Linked DNA regions of Schizosaccharomyces pombe. The protein of the gene in region 2 purifies or fractionates together with the protein of the main gene of each other region. This does not show direct contact. Each region holds a gene or a part of one and is shown on either strand. Other genes may lie near its edges.

The links. Proteins that work in one complex are often made in the same cells at the same time.
Region 1: the proteins of srx1 (region 2) and tpx1 purify together in Schizosaccharomyces pombe (affinity purification with western blotting, with the first as the bait; one study listed by BioGRID). This does not show direct contact.

The regions. Positions count from the first base shown.
Region 1 is NC_003421.2:2,083,527-2,088,276, forward strand, and holds tpx1 (thioredoxin peroxidase Tpx1), read right to left. Parts: upstream 2,194-4,750; 5' UTR 2,089-2,193; coding exon 1,510-2,088; 3' UTR 1,416-1,509; downstream 1-1,415. Other genes in the region: BAX inhibitor family protein Bxi1, read left to right, coding at 3,351-4,151. UniProt on the Schizosaccharomyces pombe protein: Thiol-specific peroxidase that catalyzes the reduction of hydrogen peroxide and organic hydroperoxides to water and alcohols, respectively.
Region 2 is NC_003423.3:375,122-379,853, reverse strand, and holds srx1 (sulfiredoxin), read left to right. Parts: upstream 1-2,841; 5' UTR 2,842-3,017; coding exon 3,018-3,392; 3' UTR 3,393-3,601; downstream 3,602-4,732. Other genes in the region: SPOM_SPBC106.03 (steroid dehydrogenase), read right to left, coding at 154-1,227; dual-specificity protein kinase Mph1, read right to left, coding at 3,929-4,732. UniProt on the Schizosaccharomyces pombe protein: Contributes to oxidative stress resistance by reducing cysteine-sulfinic acid formed under exposure to oxidants in a peroxiredoxin. May catalyze the reduction in a multi-step process by acting both as a specific phosphotransferase and a thioltransferase.

The sequences.
Region 1 (4,750 bases), on a different chromosome or scaffold from region 2:
ATTACCTCTTGATACATTCTTTTCTGTCATTGTTTACAAAGCGTATTGACACATTGGTTTCATAAGAATAACTTTTCACTGTATGCCCAGTGTGTTGGATACAAGCAGATTTACAAACATCCTTTTAAAAAATCATTTTGGGAAGCAGTCAATCTCGTTTATACTGTTGTATTTCTTTACATTCGCCTTTTTCCAGTCTTCTTCAGTTTAGAAACATTGGAAGGCTGTGAATGAGCTATATGGTACGAGGCAAAGTAAAATATTATTTTACTAATAATAAAAAATAAAATGCGACTACAATTAAAATTTCTATTTTATGTATCTCTATCCATTTATATTGACTTGAATGAACTGAAAACCTATTCTTCTTTATATCTCGAAAATTCTCGTTATGTCAGCAATACTACACTACGCTATGCTACACTACGTTGCGTATCACTATATGTCATATGTTGGAATACTAGCTAAGATCCGTTTATTGATAATCACGGGTAACTATCCTTCTATATACATAGATACCCGTTGATACAAGTATTTAGAAATATTATAAATAGCGTTACAACTGAACCTCGTTCCTCAGTTCAGTTATGAGCTATATTAGTGATAGGTAACATTATAACCCAGTTAATACAATACCTATACTCAGTTGCTACTTATACAACCTGTGTATTGTAATATAATAGACCACAAGGAAAACTCACCGCAGTTCTACGTATCCTTAAATCAGATACCAAACTGCGTAGCTTACATGTTATCGCAACGAGCGTAACTCGTTTAACTCCCTTTGGGCCTGATAAGGAAGATGCGGGTGAAGGGAGTGAAATCCACGGACTAACCTTCTTTTAACCACCGAAGTCTACCCCAGATAATCTGAGGTAGCAAGTCACTTGGTATGTCAGTGCGTGTCGGTGCGTTACAAAACGATAGACGCAAAGCAAAACAATGAGAGGATTTAATTTTTTTAGGTTCCATTTTCTTGGTATAAACTAAAACATAGGTTGCCTTTTTCTTTTGTTTTGAATTGTCGTCATGTTGTCAAAAGGCATAATAATACAAACGAGTTCAATAAAACACAATGTAATCACTCAAATCATTATAACCAGTTCATCCATATACTTAAAGTTGACTTCAAATAACTTTATACAGTATTTATAATTATAAATAGTTATATAACTTACGAGCAGCATCCCACACATTTGTAGCTTTAAACAAATGTATACGATGCATTAAAAAAGTCGTTTCTGAAAATATCATTAATTAATGAGAAAAATAAGCACATTAGCAGACGTCCCAATTAAATAATTTCCTTTTAGCAGATCCGCACTCTGCTAATTTACGCAATCCACCCTTGCCTCACGAGACATTACGATGGTATAGTATGATACACACACAGTTACTACCTCAAACTTTGAGAATATAGGCAAAAAAGGAGATTCATAAACTAATCTAAAAAGATACGAGACAAATCGTGTTTGACTCTCGTTGACTACACTTGCTCAGAAAATTGATCTAGTGCTTGGAAAAGTACTTCTCGGGGTTTTTGGTGTCAATGGTATCGGAACCCTTGTGCCAGTTGGCAGGGCAAACCTCACCGTGCTCCTCAACGAATTGGAAGGCATCGAGAAGACGGAGAGCCTCGTCGACAGAACGGCCAACGGGGAGATCATTGATGGTGATTTGACGCAAAACACCCTTGGGGTCGATCAAGAAAAGACCACGGAAAGCAACACCGGCATCCTCGATCAAGACACCATAGTCACGGGAAACCTTATGGCTAGGGTCGGCCAAAAGGGGAATGTTAATGCCACCAAGGCCACCTTCCTTACGAGGAGTGTTGATGAAGGCAAGGTGAGAGTACTCGGAATCGGTGGAGGTCAAGATGACTTGAGCATTACGTTCAGCAAACTTGGAGGCGGCCTCAGAGAAAGCAACAATCTCAGTGGGACAAACAAAGGTAAAGTCAAGGGGATAGAAGCCCAAGAAGACCCATTTACCCTTGTAATCGGCCAACTTGATTTCCTCGAAAGCACCGTTAACAACGGCAGTACCCTTGAAGTCGGGAGCAGGTTTACCGATTTGCAAACTCATGATTATAGATTAATGATATGGAATTTAGGTAGGTTTGGAACAAGTTAAGACAGTTGCTGAGCCCAAAGAGAATCGTACTATTTGGATGTTGTATCGAAAGACACTGGAGAAAAGAAGCGGTGAGGGCATGTCCCTTTATATAGGACAGGATCTGCAGCCCCAGCTGACATACCAAGCTTGCGACTAGACGAGACGCCGATCATTCCATAACGTTCTAGATTACATAAAGCGCACATCCACCCAATCGATGAGATATGCATGAAGTAAGCAAGTGAGCTTAGTCAATAATTAGGCGATAATGCAAATCGCTTGTTAACGATAAATTCCGTTCTGGACTTGTGCTTACACTATCAATATATACAGAAAATGAAGGAACACCGGTGGACCTATTGACGAAAAGGAACGAGCTATAATAAATAAAATAAGGAAATATGTTGCGGTGTGTAGAATTAAAAAAACTATTACTGCACTTGTAGAGGAGAGACGGTGTGAATCTTCATAGTCGAAAAGGAGAGTCTTAGAAAGAAGGATCATCTTTTTCTAAAGAAGCTTACAAAAAGATTTACGACGAAAACAAAAGGTAATGTACTGACATTTTGCTCCACGGTCCTCCGGCTTAGTATTATACCTCGAAGTGGCCACCTTTTTGTTGTAGTGGACAAAGATGGTTATATTACTATATAAGGATTTACGAAATAATAAGTAATTCAGGTTTCATCCAATCTTTCTCATCGTGTTTGTTTCCACGTTTCCTGCTGTTTTTTTCTTGCCAGTCTTGTTTATAAAATTGACTCTTCTGAGGAAAACGGCTTGAACCCTACACTGCTTTGCCTCTCTTCAAATTACATTTACGCCTCCTTATTAGCTTCTTTTGTTCTCGACATTTCTTGAAAACGTTGCAATGGTTCATGTAAAAGTCATTTGCAATTTCCATAGTGTTCTATGCATCGTCTGTCCTCCACTTTTGGTACGTGGGTCCTCAATTCTGTTTTAACGTAATTGAACACGATCACTATATTATCCATCACTTAATCTTGCTACTATTTATCTACTGACTTTCCCCTTTACCACGCAGCGCCATCGACTAAACATATTTGTGTTTTTTATTATCTCCTTCATATTTCAGTAAATTACAGGTTTTTTCTTTTTATCTCAATTTATTGCTTACAAAAAAACCTTAATTCTATTATATATAAGGCATTTCCTTCGCAACTATCCATTTGCTATTCGTGTTTTAAGGTATCTTCTTTTGTTTTTCAATCATGCCTGCAAATTACCAATCTGTGCCTCAGGATGATCCTTCAGTGCCAAATTTGGCTCAGGCTCCTCCCGCCTATTCCGAATATAATGAATCTGCTACCGAAAATCCCGCTGTTGATCAATTTAAAAATACTACGCCCGTTGCTGAATGCGCCAAAAGCATTCGCATGGCCTTTTTAAGAAAGGTTTATGCCATTCTCACTGCTCAGCTTTTTGTCACTTCTTTATTTGGTGGCATTTTCTACCTACATCCTGCTTTTTCTTTTTGGGTTCAAATGCACCCATGGTTCTTGATTCTCAACTTCTTCATCTCTCTGGTTGTTTTGTTTGGTCTAATTATGAAGCCGTATTCCTATCCGCGTAATTACATTTTTCTTTTCCTTTTCACTGCACTTGAAGGATTGACTCTGGGTACCGCCATCACATTCTTCAGCGCTCGTATTATTCTTGAAGCTGTCTTCATTACACTTGGAGTGTTTGTCGCATTAACGGCTTTTACATTCCAGTCAAAATGGGACTTCAGCCGACTTGGAGGATTTCTATACGTTTCTTTATGGTCCCTTATCCTCACCCCTTTAATATTTTTCTTTGTACCATCTACGCCATTTATAGACATGGCTTTTGCTGGTTTCGGAACACTTGTATTTTGTGGTTACATCTTGTTTGATACATACAACATCCTTCACCGTTACTCACCGGAGGAGTTTATTATGTCGAGTTTAATGCTTTATCTTGATTTCATCAATTTATTTATTCGTATTTTGCAGATTCTTGGAATGCTCCAAAATAATGACAATAACTAAACTAATTCCCACTGGGCAGCATGTACATGTTTAAGTCCTTGTCAACTTTTTGATTGCTGCACTTTGTCATCGTTACGATGCTTTTTTTTTTTAAAAAATGCGGTTCTTTTTTCTCTTCACCTAGGTCTAAAAGTGACAGGGGATTAATTCCCGGCATGGCCGTTGCATACTGTGTATATTGTTGAACCATGTATGTGCTAATTATAATGTTTGCTATGAATTTTATTATTTTTTATTATTTGTTATATTGTTAATGATCTCGATCTGCTCATTTTTACTACCCAAACGAGCGTATCGATGAATTCAAACGACATTCCTTTTTTTAGCAGCATGAATGGAAACGCTGTATTTAATTTCGTTTTCAATCCTTTTTTGTTGCAAAAGGTAAATTCCAACAACGGTGACCGTTAAAACTAAATGGTTGTTGTGAATGTTATTTCATGTGGGTCTTCATGCTATCTGTTAAAAAATGTTGAGAGTGTTTGTTTGAATATAAGGTTTCTATATTTGAATTTAATACTATTAGATCTGAAGAGATCTTAAGTAGATACTTGTAAACGTTATTGAGGTTAAGTGGGAGTTATTTACTGACACGGGCA
Region 2 (4,732 bases):
AGAAACAAAAATAATTGAAAAAACTCAAGCAAAAGATATGGATATCAATGACATCTTTTCATAGCATCATTATCATTATACCAAACCATGATAGACATGGGATGAGTTCAATTTGACAAGGAAACAGAGAGAACTGAGGCTCCATACAAGTATTTAGCTGCGCTTAATAAGACTGCAGGAAAAGAAGTGAAATTTTCCAAACAAGGAGAAAATCCCATCAATAACACACGTAGGAAGGAACCGTGATACTGTGACCATGAAAAAGGTGCGACAACCAACATGGCGAGTTGGAGAGGGCCAGCAACCAAGCAAGGAGTCAAAAATTTTGTTTAGAACCTTACGTTCCGTACACAACGAAGGAGGATAATTGCTTTTACCTGGAGAGCTAGAATGATCGTAATTCAAAAAGCTGAGATTTCCAAGTTTGATACAAATAACCTGTAAGCCCGTTTCACGCTTGAGAGTGCGCAAGAAAGTTTCAATGGAAGAAGAAAGAATAGATGGAACAGCATAATTGGGAGGCTCATAAGCGGATAATATACCATGAGACAAGCCAATGATTCTGGCCTTTTGACTTTTCAAAAGAGGAATCATTCGAGAAACGTTAGAGAAAGATTCACTGAGTTGTTGAAAAGCACTGATCCAAGCATCTTTTCCAATGTTCTCAATTGGAGTGTACAAAGAATCTCCTGTGGGAACGAGAATAAGACCACGTAGGCGCAAAGCATACTCCTTAGGGCCAGATTGATTGGAAAAAGACAAAAGGAAGCGTTCAACAGCCTCATTATGAGTAACAATCAAAGATTGAATGTAAGGGCGTTGTTGGAGAGAAACAGTAGCTGCTTCAGATGCATCGCGAACAAGAACAACGACGATAAAACCACGACGATCCAAATCGTGAGCAATTACTGAGGCGAGAGGGTTCCACGCAGATAAGACAACAACTTGGGTTTTTTGGTGGTTGGGTGCACGTGGAGCACGACGCTTGCGTACATAATCATAGCGTTTGTAATAGGATAATCCAGCAAGGAACAAAGCGGCCGATCCTAAGCCAACTGATACTCTATTTTGATAAAGAAATTCTCCCAATCTTCCCTTGGCACTGTTTGTAGTATGAACTGTAACAGGTTGAGGGTTACTAGTTTTTTCATGAGCATAGTCAATGATTCGCTTGCCGTAATCCTTAACATTAGAGACTAAATCGGCAGCCCAGCGTTCAGGATTCATTTTTTAATGTTATTCTACCTTTTTGATATGATAATTCGTTTTCGTAGCAATTGGATTAGATTTCCAGGCAAAAAAACACTTCAATTTTCTCCCTGATATAATGTTTGAAGAAGGAAACAATGCAGGATGAAATTGAAAAATATTTAGCAATTTCAACAATAAATACTATCACTTGAGGAATTCACAAGTAATACTTCAAAAAGCTAAAGAATTCTAAAACTTGGAATTAATGAAGTGGTGAGTGGTGGTTGAGAACAGGTCGCGAATATTGGAAAACACCATGATGTCGTGCTAACTTGATCCTAAATCGCAATTCTATTTTATGGCAGTAAAGATGATTCAAATCGAATGCAAGTTTTAATATTGAAAGTTTATCGAAGTTAATCTCACATCAGGCTAATAGGAAGCTATGTTGCTAAAAACATATTGTAAGTAAATGATAGTATCTGTTCATAAAAGGTTTGATGTTTTGCGGGAATTGAGCGATGGCATTATAAAAAAATGAGGATTAATGGCTTTAGAGATTGACTAATGGGAAGGATAAAGGATACCAAGGATATGAGAGAACGGATGGATGATTAGTATTTATTATGAAATTCGCGTTTTCATTGTAGATGAGAAGTCCGATTGAAGTATTGACCTTACTTCTCTAAAGCATGTACATATGAAAGGATCATTGTGATCTGTTTGCTCAAAAAACTTTAAGAATTGTATTAAAACCTTGCTACTCTTTAAAAGTTTTTATGTGTACCATAGTTCTTGTAATTGTCTCAACAATTGTAAAAAAAAGAACAGCCTTTCATTTGTCGCTCAGTCCTTCTTTAAATTGAAATGTTATTCCTTACATTACCTAACATTTTTAAAGTGTTAAAATAATCTAATATTCAATTTGCTACATTGCCTTCAAATCTTATGATATAAAACGTTGGCCAAGAATCAATTTGGCCTCAGCAAATATAGCAGCCGAACTTATACAAACAAAATAATATACTATGGTTTCTTAATCCTGACTTAAGGATGGATTTTCTTAAAATTTAAGGATTTCAGATGCAATCTTTAAAATTCCACTTTTGTTGACGACTAACGGTTCAAGCCTACATTCTACCAATGAATTTCTTCTTAACCAAAATTTGCACTCTTCAACTAGCTAATGCTTCTTTCACCATTCGAAAACAATACTCATATTGTTTTAATGATCTTGTGTCGGTTATCTCTGTCACATTTTAGAAAGCGTTTTCAGAAAGTGAACCTTTTGTTTACACATTTTTGAATGTACTCGTGCATTTACAGTTCTCCGTCGACTCCAAGTTATTTATACCTAAGTATTTGTGCTTGAAATTCTATTTAGGTAGCATCATTCTACACTTTGACATCTTTGCAATAGTGTTTTATTGCCATCTACATTTAATGAATAAGCTACTCCAACTACCTTACTAAGAACACAAACCCAGACCTCGTAACGTAACCACGTTGCTTTGTCCTAGTCGGTTTAACGTGTTTCGCTAACATGCTGACAAATTTTTACATAAGATTTTAAGTATCGATTCATCTTTGATAATGATGTCATATTTGTAAATTATTATATACATACCGGGATAAGATAGGTTGTGGGGCAGATCATTAGTACAACAGGAAACGATATCAGATCAAGGAGTAAATATACTCGATATCAATATCCACTTTTCCATTCTTATTAACTTGCCTTTTTTTATAATTTTCTGTTCTATTTATAAAAATTTCTGTTCACTTTATCTTTTTTATATTCTTTCTTTCATTCATTTTTAACCATCATGACTTCGATTCACACTGGCTCAAATAACAACATTGTTGAGCTTGATATGTCTGAGTTAATTCGTCCTATACCTCCTGTTTTAGATATGAACAAAGTCAATAGTATGATGGAAACCATGACAGGGAAAACTCCTCCAGCTTCATGCGGTTTGACTTCAGAAGATTTGGAAGCTGGTGAGCTTCCTCCTGTTGATGTTTTAACGTTTAAAAAGAGTGGGAAGCCTTATTATTTTGCCTTTGGGGGCTGTCATCGACTACGTGCTCACGATGAAGCAGGGCGCAAAAAGGTTCGCTGCAAATTGGTAAATTGCTCCCCTAACACTCTACGCCTGTATCTGGGTGCTTCTGCCAATAAATTTTTGGATAGTGATTAGATTTAACTTAGATTTTTTCACAAGTTTTTTTAGGATTATCGATATTCCATTGAACCTGTTTTATTCCCTTCCTGCACCAACATTTATGGCGTTAATAATCATCTCTACCGGCGGTACATTATTTTTAAAGGTTTTTGTTTTACATTAGTTATGGGGTTTTTTTTTAATGTCTAATATAACCCAATTATATTAAAAAAGTTTCTTATAAAAAAGCATCATTCATTTGGTTGCTTTACCTAAAAAAAACAAACACAAAAAGGTATTATATCGTAAACAAACAACTTATAGCGTTTGGGAGTATAGCGTTCTTTATATTTACATAGTATCAAAGTATAGATATCAGGGGCCATATAATATGTGGTTCATTAATCAAGGTCATAATTACCTTCTTTTAAAAGAGCGAAAAATTAAAGATTAAAAAAAAAAAGCCTTTAAGCTCCCTAAAAAAGTCGTTAACATTAAGAAACTCGTATGATGTTTGGGAAACTTTGTAAAAGATAAAACCTTTTTAAGAATAATCGGAAAATTTAGTGCCTCTATTCTGGCATTTTTCGTAAATTGCTAACGCAATCATAAGCCATGCTATCAATAAGTTCCTTATTTAATCGCTTGTGCTTACTCAACTCCACCGACCTTTCTATAATCATTGATAATTGAGAAGCTGAGATTTCTGTGCTGAGTCTAAGTGGATGAGCATTATTGGTGTGCCCAGAAACAGGTAACGGCTTTTTGGCCAAAGGTGTCAAATAGGATGGCAAAGGGTTTAAAAAGGGATGAACCAGCAATTCCGGTATTGTAAGTCTCTTCCGTTGATCCCTTTCCAGGCATCTTTTCATAACATCCATTAGATCAGGCCCGACAGTTACACCTGGCAACGATCCCTCTTTCTCCTGGACAGCATTAGCAGGTAAGGCAACTTCGGGGAAATGAATGTGATATTGTTCATTAGGGATAGCTGCTATAGCTTGGATCATTTTTAGATGAGCAAACGGGGCCCTCCCATACACCATCTGATATAATATACATCCCAAACTCCACACGTCGCTGGGCCTGCCCAACTTTACGAGTTTCACGCCAGAGTTTGTGTGAGCATTCATGTCTGTCAAAGCTTCAGGTGCCATATAATTAATAGTACCGATGTGGGAATCACGATGGATATTAGTGGTGTCATTACCAATTGCTTTGGCAATGCCAAAATCAATCAGCTTCAAATTCCCTTCTACAAGCAGGAAATTGGCCGGCTTCAAATCCGAATGCACTATATTTTGATCATGAACTACCTGGACCGCCTCTAGCATTTGCTCCCAATACATTCTGATGAAATTAAGATTAATGGGTTT